Drosophila melanogaster: one gene and its partners. The protein of the gene in region 3 interacts with the protein of the main gene of each other region in a pairwise test. Each region holds a gene or a part of one and is shown on either strand. Other genes may lie near its edges. The genes, in order: CG15136, gNacalpha, bic and Pka-C3.

Region 1 (3,984 bases), on a different chromosome or scaffold from region 3:
CCTAAATAATATTCAATATTTCATTTCTAATAGTACGTTCAATTCGTTTAAATGTTAGTTTCCAAGAAATTGTTCACACAGAAGAAAAGCTATTTGCAGTATAATTGGTATAAAAACGAATTTCTATTTCATAATTGAGCTCAAGACACTTACAGCCTAATGAAATTTATTTATGCAATTTAACAAATAAAAAAATAACCCCTTTTGGCCTTCCTAATCAAGTTTGTCAACGATTTAACGCACATCAATTAAAGCCGCTCAAAGATGGAACGCTTAATGATGGCCTTTGTTTTCATCACTCTCCATGGCCAGTCATTCGACCAGTCAGTTAGTCAGTCAGTTTGTCTATCTGCTGTCCCTTTATATATATTATTGCGGATATGTATGTCTGTCCCTGTGGGGCTTCCCGGCAGTGCTGCTGATTTTATACATTCAAATTAGTTCGCTTTGCACGAGTGGCCCTCGAATGAGAGAGAGTACTGCTGTGATATTTCCCGACCACGGCTGACTGGCCAGGCAACCAAGCAACCCGTCGGAACACGGCACAACCGCTCCAATGCCACTACAGCATACATACATACACAAAGATATATGTATATACATATATATATGGAGGGGGTCCGGATTGGGGGGCTATCAAGTTGCCTGTGAAGTGCTTATCCTCAAATCAGTGACACTTGAATGTGCAGCCCATGTGACTGACCAAGTGGGTGACTGACTGACTGCTGAGCGACCAGAGCTGTCATCTTGGCTACTTTCCCTTCACAAATAATATAATGTAATATAATACAATTTAATATTATTCGTTTTTATATTAACGGTTTATATCTGAGGCATATTCTGACATGACTTCTTCATTCAAAGCTGAATAAAAGATATGATACGTTACTCCTTCAAGGGAAATACGCCAACACTGAGCAGCAACTTTACAAAAGTGCGAAGACTTCGTTTCATCTATTTACTTTGCCCTTCGACCACCGCTTGCCATTTGAATCTGAAACTGTCCAACAATTTGAGTGTTGTTTGTGTCCCTGATTGAGTAGCTAAATAAACTTTGGCCTTTTATTTAATTTAACGGATTTATGACTGTCGAAGATAATTGTCAAATGGCTTAATAGTGTTATTGAAACAGGAAGAACTACATGGTATTTTTTTACACAAAATGTATAGAATAAGAAGTCAAAAAAAAAAAAAACATCCCTTCAGAAACTAACAAATTAGTCGGACTAAACCTATAAGCTGAAAAACCTTGTCTATTCCACAAAATGGCCAATAAATTAGCGCAAGTAATTTGCGCAATTAACTAAAAACAGTTAAAACCGCTATTTGTTCGGTTAGCGAAATCGCTCGATACAGCAGCGCGAATGCAATGAATTGGCAATAAATTCTCGGTTCTCGGTTGAAACTTTCTCTAACCCCTTTCTCTTTATTTTATTCGATTGTGTGGGTGTGTCGGCAGAGTCAACTAATTTATGTTTTAACACACTCGCACATGCAAATTAGCACACACACAAAATGAATGCAAATATTGGGTTCCAAGGGGGCTGAAGCTGCCATAATGAGCTCAAGTTGGGCAAATGGCTGAATGGGTGAATGGGTCTGAGGTTTTCAGGCGTTCTTTGCGGTTCATCTGGCAACAACTGTTGACAAAATGAAATCAATAAATTTTAGCGCAAATCAATTAAAATACACCAGCCAGATTGAATTAGAGTGCTGGGTGCTTTTGGTCTTCTTCTTGTTGGCCAAACGAAAATATTTGTCAATTTGCGGTATTCACAAAATTAAATTTGACACACACGCACCAGCAAGATGGAATGTCAGGATGAGTTTTAGGCAATTTTATCTCACTTTGTGTGAAATTTGTTATAATTTATTTATACGGCTTATTAAAATTATTGTAAGTTCGGCCATTTAATTAAAAGTCAAACTTTATTTGCAACGAGAAAAGCGGAGCAAACATGACAGTTGAAAGTGGAATCAAATTTATGAAATCGAATTATGGCATGCATGGATTTGAAGCAGTTTTCGGGTTAAGCCCCAATAAGATGGATAAACCCATAAATCCTCAAAATAACAATCTAACAGAAATTGAATGGAGGTAAATAACCTTTGACATTTCAAAGAAATTACAAGGAATCGGGACAAAGGAGCATGGTTAACTTACTTTTTTTGAAATAGTTTTCTATTTAATTGAGTTGTACGTTCTGCAATCATAAATTGTGTATGTAAATAATAGTGTAGCTTTAATCGTAGTTGACTTTTCATTACTTATCCAATTAAATTTCAAAGGCCAAGCATTAAAAATAGTAGGAACACAAATTACTTCGTGAAGACAAACGTTGAGAGATAAACACCCTCATAGCAAAAATCGGCCAATACCAAAGTTTTGGCAAAATATTTTGGAAGCGGCTGTCTTTGGTCATTCATTAATATTTGGCACTGAATACCGGTAAGAAAATCAAATAATCAGGTAGTTTGCCCTGCCATAATTGTCAACTGAGCATTTAAGCAGAATAGAAAAGCTACTTGAAATCGTCCGGCCGGAACTCAAATGTAGATTTGAAAAACTATTCAAGTGTTAAGTGCTCTGCTGACCATGTTGAAGGACACCGCCACCGCATCGACCAGCGAACTTGCAGGGGAAGTGGGTGACGCCCATTCGACTCCTGGCAGCTGCCCTCCGCCCGCCGCGGGCGACACGCCCCCCGTCGTTAGCCGACCGCTGGACCGACGCCTAAACCCCAACGCACCTGTGTTTGTGCCCGACTTCAAGGCCAGCCAGGTGGCCAAAAAGCTATTTGATGAGTGTAAGTACGGAAAGGAAATAATGTTTATTTAAAACAATATATATTGTATTTTGAAGCCCTTTATATATATTATGCTTTGACTTGCATAGGTTTTTAGTATTGTGCATTTATTTATTTCTTTTTAATTTCCTGATGGATTTATAAATTTAATACCCATGCAGTATCTACGTACACCCGGTGGAGTACGGCAACCTCGGAGGACATATGCTACGAGCCCCGTTACGAGTCCATCTGGCGTGAGGCCAGCATCCAGCAGCAGCAGGGTCTGCGCCATCCGGGTTTCGTTTACAGCCTGGATCCTGGCGAGGAGGAGGTTGGCGAACTGGAGTTTGACGAAGTCCAGGCCATGAATATCGGAGCCGAGTCCTATGATCCCAAGCTAGGAAGCACATCAGTTAGCCAGGCAATGGAAGTTCGCGAAACTGTGGGTGATGTGGAGGAACCTTTAGATGAGGAAAAAAGGAATGGCTTTCAGAATCGCCACTCCGCCAGACCGGCCAAAAAGTGCTGTCTGGTCATGTAGGTCCCACGGAATGGCAAATTTATATATTTATTTTCCATTTGTTTTCACACCTACATGCAACTCAGTAAATTGCTTCCTTACTCTCTCAATTTGTGTATTTTTTTCCTATACCATAGGTGCTTATAAGGGATTTCCCTTTTAGTAAGTAATTACATTTTTTCTGAATTTAATACGCTTCCAGCGCGAAGAATTAAATTCTACAGGTATTTTCCAACGTCGTTGCAATTAAGACGCTTTTCAGAACTTTCTAAATGCACTCCTTTCAAGCCCACTTACGGCAGACTGGAAGAAAGGAAGCTCCGTGGAGAAAGGTCGACTATACCTATGACATAATTTATAGCCTACATTTTAGCGCCCTAAACGGGTTTGTTTTACTTTCCACGAAGGCTCTTGCCTTTCTGCCTTCAGCTACTTTGTCCTGACTTTCTAATGATGTTGAATATGCATGAAAACTTTTGCCGCACGCAGAATTCTCCTCGCTGGATGGCAGCTGAAAGCTTGATTCACCTGTCTATGGGTAGCATGGCAGCAGGACTGCCTTCAGATTTAACTACCACTGAAAATAGTACGGGCTTAAATAACTAATTTTTAAACTCAATAAAATAACATGTGGAATTTAAAAAACACCTTCACTTTCAAATACGAGTGGCTATG
Region 2 (4,448 bases), on a different chromosome or scaffold from region 3:
AGCCATACCGCCTGCCAAACGGGATTCCAGCTCATCAACAGCAGCACAAAGATGTGGCATTCCAGATTGGCCCATCGACAAAATAAACGTCAAATTATCAAGCGAACAAGGTACCAAGTGAAATGACCTTGTCAACGCTAAAAACAAATTGGGTTTCTACTTTATTGGGAGTGCAAACAGTATGTCCACAAATTTGCTACGGCATCAGGATGTATAAAAACTTGGTGCTATTCGAAACTAATTTGCAGACTCACTATAAACTCACTAAAACAAACTCCTTTAATAAATAGTTTTCCTAGCAAAGACTGCTGATTCACTTACAACAATAGAATTAAGCCAAATAAGCATCAATCAGCAATGAAATTCATTAGCGGGAAGAGGAGACTCTCGAGCAGGCACAATATGAATGCCTTGGCCAAGATCTCAATTACGGAAACATCTTTGGTTATAACATGTCTACGACATGGTAATATGATTTCAATCATTTCTCGAAACTTGCATGATTAATGCGTTACAGATTTTTGCCCCCAGAAAGCGGCTTCTGTGGGCCTCGTTGCCTTGAAGGAGAGTGAAGACCTCGTCCTGGTGGGCCTCCGAATTGGGTTCATTTTTCATGCACAGGCCGTGGCAGCAGAAACTAAACTTCGAGGCTAAGACTAAGCCCCAATAAGTTGGATGGGCCCAGATGACACCGCAGCATATGGGGCGGATAATTAATCATGGGACGAACGTGCCAGGACGCCCAAAAACTTTTCACCCTTCTCCGGCTCTCCGGGTCTCCGAGTTCCAAGTCCGCGCAGAACTTAACTTAACCGAGCAACATTGAATCGAATCGACCGAGATGTTAAGATGCGAGGACTCATGGCTGGGCAAAGGGAATATCTGATTAGTTGGCCTCTCGAATTTAATTATGGTGACAGGACAGACTCTGCGGCGGCAGCCGGATGCATCCTCGGTCTCCTGCCCTCCACATCCTCCTAGTCCTCCTCCTGCTGCTTCATTCGCCTCTCCTGAATAATTTGTGCAACTCAATTAGGCGTTGACCCCACGATAAAGTTTAATAATTGCAGGTGGTGGACGCCCTTCTTTCGCTCGAACTTTAATTAAAAGAACCGAGCAATTAAAAACGCATCATCAGACAGAGCGCAGCGGCTTGCAGAAAAAATGCAATACATGCTCCCGATTACCACATACCTGTTATGTAGGAAATAGGAAAGGTCAGAATTCATGAAAATTATGCTAAATGTTATGTTAACTCCATTGGGGATTTGATCCATACGTGCTCATATTCTTATTGTACGGTTGTCTCGAATTGTGATGTAATTTCCGTAACACGAAGAGCGCCCTAATAGGGCGTGGCACTTTTTTAATGCACTTAGCAAGTGTTTTTTCGCCACACGCAGAACGCAAAACAGGATCACACAGCCCCGCCCTGAACCGCCTGATCTGGGAAATTCGGGAGCCGGAAAACCGCAAGGAAAACCGCACGTGTAACCGCGCTTGCTCCACCGCGTCGTGTTTGTGGGGCTGCTCCGCTTTGGAGGCAGACTGCGGTGCGACCACGACAGCAATTAACACGGAGGAACCAGCTTCAGATTCAGGTCTTTGGCATTTTCCGGGCATCCGAGTTTTACGACTTTGCATATTCGAATATTACCCAAATAACCGCTGAACTTTTCATTTCTCCACCACTTTTAAACTGGCTTTGTCAGGTGAAAATTTTCAAGCACGTCACTGCAGTGGATTGATTTGCAATCATCAATTTCGATAGAATTTGCGAGGCGCTGCAGCAAAACTTTTATAACCGCGAAATTAAGTGCACAGTTCGAAGGCAGCTGACATTCTCGTTTGAAAAATACCAACTTTCTTCAGAGCAGCGCTGCTAACGCCTATAATCAGTTCACGATTGCACTGGGACCTATCGATATCGATAGACTTAGGCGTGCTCTGCATGTTCGAATGGCCGAGTGGCCATTTTAAAAACTTATAATCTTTCCGAAAGCAACACTTGATATTGTTTATTTCGCTATTTAGGTGCCATTAGCATAAAAAATTTCCAGTTTTCATTATGAAAAAACTTTTCGATAAGTATACCAAATTTCGCAACAGCACTTATCGAAGAGAGCAACACCAGCTGTCAAGCCACTGGAAGTTTCACCTCTGATATTTCCTGTCAAGTCTTTCCCGCAAGAGGTCACACCACGTGCGCTGCCAATTTGGAAATTTTTTTGGAGAAGTTGTCCTCGCAAATCTGTGATCGCAAATCCCTCAGTTGCTGTTTATTCCTCAAGATGGGTAAGAAGCAGAAAATGAAGAAGGCTGCCCAGATGGCGACCGCTGCCGAGAAATTGAAGACCGCTGCCGAGAAATCGAAGACCGCTGCCGACAACGTGGTGGCCAAAGAAAAGCCTGCCGAAGAAGCCTCTCCCTCACCAAGTGGCAGTGGAAAAAAAGGGAAGCCCAAGGCAACGCAAAAACCAAACGTCGCAAAGGCACTTCAGAAGGAGATCTCCAGTTCGGAAGACGCCTTGGATGTCAAGAATAAACCTCCGGCAGGCTTTAGTGGCGCAAAGGGGAAGCCCCACATCATGGGTCAAATGGACCCGGCCTACCGCAACAAGATCAAGAAGCTGATGAGCCTGGCCAAACAGCTGCCGCCCAATGTGTTCAGTCTGCCGAACTCGCAGAAGGAGGAGGGCGCCTCCGCCGCGAAATCCTGCGTAGTTGAGGATGATCAGAGCACGGACTCCGATGACGCCCCGGATCTCGTGGAAGCGGATCCCAAGGAGACCCAACCGGACGAGCAGGGTCAACTCGGTACGGTGGCCGTGCGAACACGTGAGGTATCAAAGCAGTCTCGCGGCGAGCGGAAGGCACGCCGGATCCTCATGAAGCTGGACCTGAAGCCCATGGAGAACGTGGCCCGAGTGACCATGAAGAAGGGCAAGAACATCCTCTTGTACATCGATCAGCCGGACGTCTACAGAGTGGCGCACTCGTCGACGTACATCTTCTTTGGGGAGATCTGCGTGGAGGACACTAGCACCACGTCCGTCGCCTCCCAGGCAGCTGTCAAGGCGGCCGAGCGATTCCGTGGAACCTCGCCTGCCGGGCGGCAAGGTAACGAGGATGGAAAAGCCCCTGGCGAGGAGTCCCCACACGACGACGACGACGACGAGAACGATGGCGAGGACGCGGATGCCATGGGCCTACATGCGAAGGACATCGAACTGGTACAGATGCAGGCCGCGTGCTCGCGCAAAAAGGCGATCCAGGCGCTGCTGAAGAACGACAACGATGTGGTCAATGCCATCATGGCCCTGACTGTGGGTTAAGTCGCTCTGAGTGGCTCCTTTGTATTCAAAGTCATGAAATAAAGAGAATTTCAATAACATCCATGTTCGCCATAGAAATTAATGGTAATTAAATGATTACAATCAAATCGTAAACTTTCATGTTGTTTTTATTTACTATACTTTCATGTAATCCAGACAATCCTTTCGGACTTCACTTCTCCTGGTGGATGGCTTGTTCTACAAGAATGACAATCTCCGGTGCCAATGTAGCTCGTACTATATTAAATGCCGATCATTTCCTGGTTTTTGAAAATGTTTTCGGTCCCAGCAGAAGAATCCCACTGAAGAACCCCTTTGTACAGCGAAATTGCCATCTTATTTCAATTTTCTAATGAATTGACATTTCCACCATTTCCATCTTGGCACAGTGAAAGCATTTTCCGAAGGGCGAAGAACGCATATGCGAACCCGAACCATTTTCATTATACTCGTATTTGCTCTTCCATCAGCGCTAGACTTTGGCAATTTTCCTTTCAGGTACCGTCATTCTTGGACATTTTCTCTGTGGCGGAAACTTAATCGCTTCTTTCTTTGTGCCGCTGACGCTGCACTCTTGTTTACTCTGCACTTAGTTTTTAGCCATTTGGCGAAGTCCCCCGGCACTCGACTTTGCATTTTTTGCTGGCGAATTTTTGACGACGCCGTGATTGCGTTTCAGCTCTTTCAGGGGATTTCAGGGGTACTCCCAGGTGAGACAGGTGACGTCGCTGCTGGTGACGTGGCTACGCAAGTCCTGCTCCGCGGACATTTGACTCAATTAAATGGCTCGACTACGTTCAACGTCCCTTTTCTGGCCCCAAAAGCCACTTAATGACTAGCTCCGGCTCTAACTGAACTTTTTTTAATTTTCAGCTGTCGTCAGCAGCCGTAAAAAAGGCTTTAGTTTTGCATTGTGGGCGCTCAACAGTCCGTGCGGCTGAGCACGTGCCCGCTTTTTCGCCGGAAAAGTGGAAATGGAAACTTTGTAGGTGGGACGCATTCACCTTCTTCGTTCTGTACACTCATATAGTGCGAGTAGAAAGTGCCCGCGCGTGTCGGCTTCGAATGGAAAGTTCTTGGGGCTCCATTCCCTTTCCGTGGAACTTTCTCCGC
Region 3 (4,289 bases):
ATGAGTTTTTAACTCTATTTGACCTCGTCACTGATAAAAATACTAGCATTTGCATTAACCTTAATCCGTTATAGGTCGTCGAAATGTGATAAGAAGCCGCAATCGCTTGTTTATGTACAAATGAGTGGAAACTTCAAGAAACATTCCGGTTGAACTGGCCTAATCGCAATTTTAAGCCAATTTAAACGTGACTCATTTCGAAGATTTCCGACCAAAAACCATATACATATTTATATATATACATATGTGCATGTACCGCATGCTACGACTCCCAACTTTGGATTTGGACACATAATTTGGAAGTTGCGTACGGGTCATAGTTCCTGCCGAAGGAGCCTTCTGACCATCTGGATTTTAGACGTACCATACCAAATGTCAACAAGTTTTCGACTGCCGCGTGCTTTGCGCCACACCTCCCACTACCCCTTTCCCATCACCTCGAAAACCTCACACAAGAGCGTTGCTATGCATACACACACAGGCCCACACTCACACACATGTCGATTATGCAAGCAAAGAAAAAAATAGGCATTAAACTAAAAAAAAAATGCTGGAAATATGAATGGGTCGTATGGTTTTTACAGCTCATTTAATGTTATGCATGGTAATGATGGTCTAAAACAATAGTTTACAAATTATAAGCTATGCTTTCAACAATTTGGGCACATTGTTCTCGAATCGAAATTGTGGCCTCAGCTTGTTTTCGTTTTCAATTGAGGATTCCTTGAGGGCGGGGTTACATCGAAAAGTCGGAAATTGGGGAAAATCGGTAAGAGCTAGTAGTGCTAAAAATATATTTCTCTGTCCTCGCGACCTGGCAATGAATTCATCTGGAGTGTCTGCGTTGTTCCCCTAATCACCTCGTCACAATTCTTCCGAAAACCGTATCGTATATATATAGTATATAGTGTTTTATGACAGCGCATATATCTATAGATACATCTGTGTGTGTTGTTCTTGGGAGGGCGGCAAAAATTAGAATGTGTGTGTTGTTTAGACTGTGGTTTTTTTTGGTTAAGGAAACGTTCTTTAATCGCTTTGGAAAATACATTTGACTGTTCCAAACTAGTACAATTAGATTAAGATTGAAGGGTTCCCTTAGTATGTTAAGTATAGTTATTATGCTTATGTGTTCTGTTCAGCGCTCACTCGGATGCCTTTATTTTTGTATTTTAGTATAGTGTGTAGCATGACCCCCAAAAAAGTGGCTGGAGGGAGCACGAAGAATGGCCCATTCAGGGCAGAAGCGCTGGTTGCAGTCCGGAGTGGATCCGTTTCCGATTTGGAACCGGAATGGGTAAGTGGTAGATGTGTTTCCGGCGTGTCTGGTGTGTGGGTTCTGCCCTGTATGCCAGCCACTTCGTCTTGCTCCCTGGCCCCGTATGTTTTGTATGTATGTTTTTGTGTTCGGTGTGTGGTGGTGTGATTTGCCCGGGTGGGCGGGGTTGGACCAGCCTAAGCGGAGGCCGCCACCTCACCGGACTTCTCCTCCTTTGTGTCGGCGATGGCCACCTCCTCGAAGTTCTCGACCAGATCGGGCACATCATCGTCACCGGCATCGGCGGCTGAAGAGCCGGCTGCTCCGCCGGCGCCGCTCTTGCTGGCAATCTCCGTGGCCAGCTTCTTCAGCTGGTTGATGTCCTGGGGACCCAGTTGCGTCAGAATGCCGGGCACCATCTCGGTGATCGTCTTGTTCTCGCCATGACCCGTGATGGCAAACGTGTTCGTCGGCAGCGAGGCCTGGGCCTTCGGATTGTTGAAGTGGATGACGGTGCCATCGTTCTTGATGATGTTCACCTCCTCGATGCCGGGAATTGTGTTTACCGACAGCTTCTTGAGCGACGACTGCAGCTTCTTGTCGTCGGTGGCGGGCGTGGAGTGGACGATCTTCTTCTTGCGGCGAGGGGTGCCCTTGCCGCCAATGCGCACCTGCGCCTGCAACTTCTTCAGCTTTTCCGCGTTCATCTGTTCAATTGAGTACACACAATGGTCGCATCAGTAAAACGCCAATCGAATGCCGCACTTTCCACTACTCACTTTGATTTTACTAGAATTTAGCACAGAGCCTTGCCAGAAAACACGTGCGCCCAGTCGTAGTCAAATGTCAAAAAGAAATCGCCATGATAAAAATGGCAAAAGGTGTATGTATATGTGAGTAGTACTGGTAGGAAGTACTAAACGTGAGTGTTGACTATCGATAGCTCACAAGGTGGCAACCAAAGCGCGCCAAAGAAATTTAAAAATTCTATTGTTTATATAATTTATACATTATTTTTGAAGTAATACGTTTTCTGAATTTTGAATGAATTTTTAGTTTTGAATATATTCAAATTTTTAGTAGTATATGGTGGGAAAGTAAATCTACTCAGGGCATAAATCTCAATTTAATCGATTTACTTTATTTTCATCGCTTTCAACCACATATATAAGTAAATATGTTTAAAAATTTGCTATATAAAATTAAAAATAAACGTGGTAAGAAAAAAAACCAATTTACTAAACATTTGGAATGTTAATAAACATAATTATGAGCCATCATAAACCCAGCAATAAAGTTTTAAACACAATTAAACCAGATGTAATGTTTGAATTAATTAATTCTTATATTTTCTATTCCAATAGTATCGATTGCTTTGTTGAGTTCGATAGCTATCGTTGGCTTGCATCGACTACTCACTAAACTCAGCAGTCAGTGCTGCATAACGTCATCATTATGATAAATTGTAATGTTTTAAAAAATATCTATACAAAATATACAAGCTTAGTATAACAAACTCAATTTAGTAAATATTTGGAACGCAAATAAATAAAATTATGAGCCATTATATACCTTGCAATAAAGTTTTAAACACAATTAAATCAGATGTTATGTTTGAATTATCGATTGCTGTGTTGAGTGCGCTAGCTATCGCCGCTTTACATCGACTGCTCACTAAACATAGCCAGCGCAGTCAGTGCTGCATAACGTGCACCCATTATCATCATGATAAATTGTATTACTTTCAGATTAACGCTGATAAGATATAGTTAATTCCAATCGGGCTTCAATAACGACCTTCCGGTAGAGTAGTTCACTGATATTTAAGTGAATTATACGGGTGCTGCCAAAAAGCGGATAAATCCGATAAATAGGCAGTGCATTCCCTGCAACAAGTGGAATTTTCGACTTTAAATACAGATATTAACAAAGGGAAATAACCGCTAAATCCTTGTCAAACGTAAGTATTTCACGACGTCTTATCGACTATGAAACGAGCTTTTAAACACATTAACTTCTTCCGCAGTGGACGACTTTGAGTTGGACGATATAGACGATTTCGCCATGGATTTCTGGGGCATTTTCATGTTCTTTCTGCTCACCTTCCTCATCATGAGTTGCTGCGGATATTGCTGCACCAGCAGACGCCAAGGTGCCGTTCTGTCCAGTGAGTAACTGTATAAAATATATGTAGAAGTATTAGCCTATAAGCCATTAATCAAATAAAAACTCCCCGATGAGTCATTCAGAAAGACAAAGCAGCCGGAGTTTAGCTCAAAAGATGAGTTTTATGAGTGAGCGAGTGTGTGTAAGAGTATATAAAATCCTATTCGTGTTAAGAAGTGATAATAACAATTATATTTAGTCGATATACATATTTATAGAGAGAGAGAGACAGATCTGAATAATGGGAGAGAGCTTTTGGCTTGTTTGGTTTTTTTCTTTTGCCTCTCCACCGATTCGTAAACAACATTAAGTATGCTCAGCAATAAGCGGAACTTACTTTATCAGCAAGGGCCAAAGTAATTGTCTATTTATGTATGTTTATTTATATGGCCGTATCTTATCTGAAACAAGTGAATAGTCTGTTGTCCCTTTCTGGCCAGGATTTTACCAGTTTTTATCCATAATATAATAATTGCTATAATGTTAGCAATTTTAGTATAACAACAATATAATTTAAATTGTTTAAAATGACTCATCCTCAGTAGCGCTTCGATAAGGAATTGATTCATTTTTATAGATAAGAACGACTGACAATTGTATCCACATGCCACAGCTAAATACATGCATGCAGTATACCTCGAACTTTTAGACCAAACGGCTCGTTGGAAAAAAGTATCTTTTAACCATGGTTAACATATACTTTGATATATGGTTTCCCATTATAATGGTTGTTTTATATAGTGGTTTTGATACTGGTACTATTGCGAGTTCGTCGCGTCCGTCGACTTCGCGTGGGAAACGCAACTGTGGTTACCGCCGGTGAGGTCAGGACTTTAAATAGTAATTCTGGGATGATCGATGGTCG
Region 4 (5,363 bases), on a different chromosome or scaffold from region 3:
CACTCCGGAGCAGATGGGACAGGTGAGCTCCTCGTCCACCTCCCCCTGAAAGCGATTCACATCGTAGCCCATCTTAGGTCCTCAGCACGCTGGCCATCCGCATAAAAATACTATTAATAATTCTTTTCTGCGGATTGCAAAATCTGTGTGTTTTTTTTTCGGTTCAGTCAGTGCAGTGTTGTGTAGTGTGACTGAGTAGTGTTGGAAAGCTAGGATGGCACTTCAGCTGTAATCCGCGAGAAATGGCTTCTTAAAATAACTGTTTAGCTTGAAAATATTGAGATATTTTCTGTTCCACCTTAGTTTTAAACTTAAGTTTGACTTAAAGTCAAAATTTTTGATATAATAGAATTCTTGTTTGATCTCCATTCATTTATTTGTACTATTAAATTAGCTTTGGCCAGGCAGCTTAACAAATTAAATACGTCATCGTCCTGGTTAAAATATGTTTACACACTTGTCGATCATATGATTAATAAATAATATACATATCCTGCCCAAAGGACCACGTCAGCATAAGCCACCGGTGATTAATCAGCGCACAGTTGATTTAAAAATATAGCATCTTTATAATAGGTAAAAATATCAATGTATTTAACAGTCTGGACCGTTGGCATGCCACTATTTGGTATACAATAATGAAATTCGTCAAAAAGGGAGTCCAATGGACATGGCTACCCAATTCATAGACTAACACAACACATAAAACATTTAACGCTTAATCCGATACCCCCAGGTCCCCGCACCCTCGTAGCCAGTGATCCTGTACTATATCTCGTTGCGATCCTTCCAGCCATATTTCTGGCGCTGCTGCTTCTCCCTACTATTGCTATTACCCTGCCTATTGCCATTGTAGGAGGAGCTCTTCGGCGGGGCGCAATAGCAGGATCTCTGCTGGGAGTCCAGATAGGAGCGGCATCCCAGGGTCAATGTGCCGGTGAATAGCATCTTGGCAGCCGCCTTGCAGCCCTTCATCATCAGATCGCTGGCTATGGACTTCTCGTAGCTGTCGCAGTACTTGTACAAGCACCTCTTGAAGTCCAGGTCGCACAGCTCCTTATCGCTATTGCAGGTGTCGTAGCAGATATCGTGGTCATTGCAACATGTCTCCATCTCCTTGGCCGGCAGATAGTCTGTGCTGATCCTCAGGCCCAAGGAACCACATCCATCTGCGGTGGGGGTATAGAACTTATTCTGAACCGCTCTGGGCGCTGTAAGATAAACACACATATGGATGCTGGGGAATTTACATAATGCGCAGTGCGTCACCACACCTGGTCCTCCGATATCCGGTGCGGGGCACTGGTATATGCAGTTCTCGTCCACGGCCGCATCGAAAACCTCGTGGACCGTGCGAAATTTGCGCACCAGCACTATCAGGTTCTTGAACACGTCACCAAAGATCGCCTCCGCGGCTATAATGGCATCCCTTAGCTAAATCCGGGGAGAGAAGATACAGGAGTAACAGATACTAGCTCTCACAGATTTCCTACGAGAAGCGGTGCACCTTACGTGGACTATGGTGCTGGATCCATAGCCTGAATAGGCGTAGGTTAGGAACGTAAGAAGGTATATGGCCACCTTCATCCAAGAGAACTGCATGTTCGCTGTTTAATTCGTTTTTGAAGGGTCAGCTATTTGTTGTTTGCGCGTAATAATAAACTAAACTATGCGAAAGACATTTGTAGCAGTGTGACCAGGCGTCATCGTTCAAATATACCAACCGGCTCGGAAATCATACCAAACTGCATATGAGGTTGCATACTTTTAGGCACTGTCCTGACATTTCAAAAAATCCTAATGGGAAATTTAAAACCGTTTTTAAATATTATAAATAAAATACGTTATGATTTATAAAACAAAAAAATTTATGAAAAATAAAATCTTGTTGGCTTTGCAGAGAGTATTACAATTAATGCTATACATTAATAAAAGTAAATTGAATTTCAGAACACTGGCGCCATCTGGTACAGACAACTCAAAACATTTAACTGACAATACATATACATCGATATTTCGAGGGGGGAAAATTCAAAAAATTGGGAATAAACAAAATTTTCCTTAAATGGATTTGTGGCATATATTTTTGGAACGTATTTTAGTGGCTTGCAGAGTCAGCGCAAGTGTCTTCGCAAATTTCGGCTGCGGTTTGTATTCCAGCTGGAAGCTAAGTGAGTTGTTTCCCACAATTATACTTAGTGCGGCAAGGATACTAACATTTTTATGCCTTACAGTCTGCGGCGACCATGACTCGGCTTCCGGTCTGCGGGCAGGACTTGCCACGCCCACTCAAAGAGGTGAGTGCATGCAGTGTCCTTGCACTTGACAAACAGGACTGAAGCAGCCTCAAAACGAAATAGTGAAATAGGGAAAAAAAAGTCGCGCACAGAAAACGTAAACGCAAAGCTTGCTGACATCTCGTGCCTGCCTTCGCTTAATTATAACATCAAATTGAAATGCACACGGCAATTGTATGCGGCACCTGAAATGAGACTGTGGCACGCAGGCGTCACTCGTACTCGCATTTCGTTTGCACCTGACCTTGTTGGCCTTTATTACAACGGCCAGCGAAATCAACGTGCATAAACATGCGAACGCAACACCCGAAAACCGTTAAAGAGGCGCGCTCGCTGTTTGCTTAAAACCGAAACAGAGGGCTCGTAAATACACAAAACATATTTTCTAGATTTTCTCAGCAACGAATCGGCGCTGCCGCAAAGTCTACTGAAAACAAACAAGACACTGAGGAAAAACACCCCCACCATAAAAACACACATAAACCTTTTGATTTAAAACGACTTCTGGCTTGAATCGTAGGGTTAACTTATGTACAATATGTACATCATGTATGTATTTCATATCTGAATTACATCCTGTATGCATTATTTTCCATCTCTACTATAATAACCAAAAGTCTTAATATTTGTTGAAATAACACAAACATAAATAGGTATAAGTGTTTCTTGGAATATTTAAAAATTCACTGCTGACGAAAAGTCTGCTGGTACTCCTACACTTGGGAAAATCCCACATTTATTACAATTTTCCGACTTTTCGCAGGCAATGTGTCTGTTAAAGCAGTTAAAGAAAAACCAATCCAAAAACTACCCAACATTAGGATTATATTTATTTAATAATCAGGTAAAATCGTAAGATAAAAACGTCTATAAAATCTATTATTAAACGTTGTTAAAAGATAAAAAGATATTTCATAAGAAATATAATTTTGCATTTTCTTATTTATGATAGTAATGAAAGTTGTTATTACACAAAAAAAATATGATAAGAACAGTTAAAATATGTAAATTATTGTCTTCGCAGCGACAAAATATCTACTTTTTTGTCAATGTATGTATCTTCTAGATTAATTATTATATATATATGTATGTATGTAGATTTTGGTCGCTGCAAAGACTTTCAGTTCCGTGATGGTGTTGTCAATTAGGGCGCACACCATGCTGGCCGCCTTATCGCCATCGGTGATTCCGGACCGCCTCCGCCATCCTGATGGCGATGATCCTGTTGCCGCCAAAGCGTTTAGGCCCTCAAATGGAACGGCACTCGGGACACTTGGCCAAAACCAAATATCTGCACACATGGAGAGCAAACACAAACACATCCGACTATCAAGCGAGCATCCCGAAGCCATCTCTCCCTCTCCCCTTGGCTGCCAGCAGAAGCATCATTATTACCATCGTCATCATTGCCCACTGCCCCGCCCCTCCCGACCAGGCCGCCCCCTTTTCCGAACCACCACGACTGTGCTGCCAACTGCGACGCTGACGTCGACGTCGAGAGCTGTGGCAAGCGATTCGCAGATTTTACGTTTCAGTTTCGTGCAAAACGTGGAAGCGGCTGGTCAACCCAAGAAAAACACCACAGAACACTCAGAAATCATTCGAAAGAAAATTGGAAAATTTGACATTGGTCTTCAGACTAGTCAACAAAAAAAAAAACAAAACCTATTCAAAGTTTGCAATCATCACGTTTGATTAATTGCGCTCAGTTGGACTAATTTGGCAATCTGCTGGTTCAGCGGAGGAAACTAACAAAAAACCGAAGAAAAACTGCAAGTTGCGCTGTAAAAACCGGAAATTCTAGATCTCTCGGATCTCACGATCCCAGCGTATATAAACAAAACAAAGCGGCACCTTTAGACACACAACAACAACTAAAAGAAACCGAAGAAAAACCCACGAAAAAAGTGACACAAATAAAGCAAATCGCGATCGCTGTGTCCAGTCGATCCGCAAAAAATAATACCTATGGCCCCCGTATACCTATAACACCCATAATACCTATACCTATACCCCCTCCCGCCGAGAAACGCTGAGTGTTGAGTTTATTTCTGTTTCTGTGTCGGCTTCAGCGGTTTTTTCGCCTTTTTTTCTGTTATTATTGCCGGCCAGAAGCGAAGGAAAAATCGAAATCGACGGCTAGTCGCGGAAAATCGTGCGCTCTTAAAGTAACATATTTATTTTTAACAATTTCGCAAGCGTTCAAATTTTGCTCCAGCAAAAAATCAGAATCAGAACTCACCAACCAACCAGACAATCGCAACCTGAACAACAACAATAAATATAGATCGGCTGTGGGATCGTTAAGTAGGAAAAAAAGAAAAACAAAAACCAAAAGGCTAAAAAAACCAAAAACCAAAACAAAAACCAAACCAAAAGGCAACGACGACGGCCGGCAAATTTGGATCTCAAAATTTAGCTCGGTGAGTAATCGTGGGTAGTGTAAAAAGTGGAAGCCAGCAGCCAGCAACAAATCATAAATGCTTGCTTTCCAAAATAGAAACAAAATGTGGAGATAAATTCGTTTGATGATTAAGCTTTGAGTACTATAATTAGGCGAGCCGATTTAATTAGTACAATTAGCAAATTACACCTCACATGGCGGGCTAAATCTTGATATTTGGAGTGGAAGTGGAAGTTGGAAAGTGTGGGTTTTTTAGATACTTTGAGATCTTGCTAATGCAGTCATTAAGTTCGTTAGATTCGTAGATTAATGCGTCTTTAAACATTTAAATAGAGGTGGAAGATCTAACTCGTCATAATGTTAAAATAAATATGATAAATATAAATAAGAATAAAATGCTAAAATGTCTGATTTAATGGTATATATCCCATATATCCCACATATATATAAATTAAAAAAGGCGTGTAAAATATTTTGAATTTTCTTGAACATTTCAAAGTTCAGAAAGCGTGATAAATTATTAGATTCTTCACTGACAAATGGTAAATATATAAAAAATTCCAAAAATGTATGATTTACTTATGCTTAATAATTCAAGAAAGATAATATTCGAGTTTTCCGCTTCTTTCAAAATCTGCCAGCTATTTGCATTCAGGTGACCC

What was found.
Region 1: the proteins of bic (region 3) and CG15136 interact in a two-hybrid assay, tested with the Drosophila melanogaster proteins (one large-scale study listed by BioGRID).
Region 2: the proteins of bic (region 3) and gNacalpha interact in a two-hybrid assay, tested with the Drosophila melanogaster proteins (one large-scale study listed by BioGRID).
Region 4: the proteins of bic (region 3) and Pka-C3 interact in a two-hybrid assay, tested with the Drosophila melanogaster proteins (one large-scale study listed by BioGRID).

What each region holds. Positions count from the first base shown.
Region 1 is NT_033779.5:17,046,594-17,050,577, reverse strand, and holds CG15136 (uncharacterized protein), read left to right. Parts: upstream 1-2,296; 5' UTR 2,297-2,449; intron 2,450-2,509; exon of another isoform or gene 2,510-2,512; 5' UTR 2,513-2,596; coding exon 2,597-2,807; intron 2,808-2,968; coding exon 2,969-3,330; 3' UTR 3,331-3,417; downstream 3,418-3,984.
Region 2 is NT_033779.5:1,035,088-1,039,535, forward strand, and holds gNacalpha (germinal nascent polypeptide-associated complex alpha subunit), read left to right. Parts: upstream 1-2,158; 5' UTR 2,159-2,291; coding exon 2,292-3,335; 3' UTR 3,336-3,419; exon of another isoform or gene 3,420-3,446; intron 3,447-3,491; 3' UTR 3,492-3,598; downstream 3,599-4,448.
Region 3 is NT_033778.4:12,868,079-12,872,367, reverse strand, and holds bic (bicaudal), read right to left. Parts: upstream 2,120-4,289; 5' UTR 2,038-2,119; exon of another isoform or gene 1,966-2,037; coding exon 1,456-1,965; 3' UTR 574-1,455; downstream 1-573.
Region 4 is NT_037436.4:15,951,459-15,956,821, reverse strand, and holds the start of Pka-C3 (protein kinase, cAMP-dependent, catalytic subunit 3), read left to right. Parts: upstream 1-2,024; 5' UTR 2,025-2,065; coding exon 2,066-2,171; intron 2,172-2,234; coding exon 2,235-2,297; intron 2,298-3,828; exon of another isoform or gene 3,829-4,720; intron 4,721-5,363. Other genes in the region: elgi (early girl), read right to left, coding at 1-72; GXIVsPLA2, read right to left, coding at 769-1,211, 1,275-1,434, 1,513-1,602. UniProt on the Drosophila melanogaster protein: Does not have an essential role in development.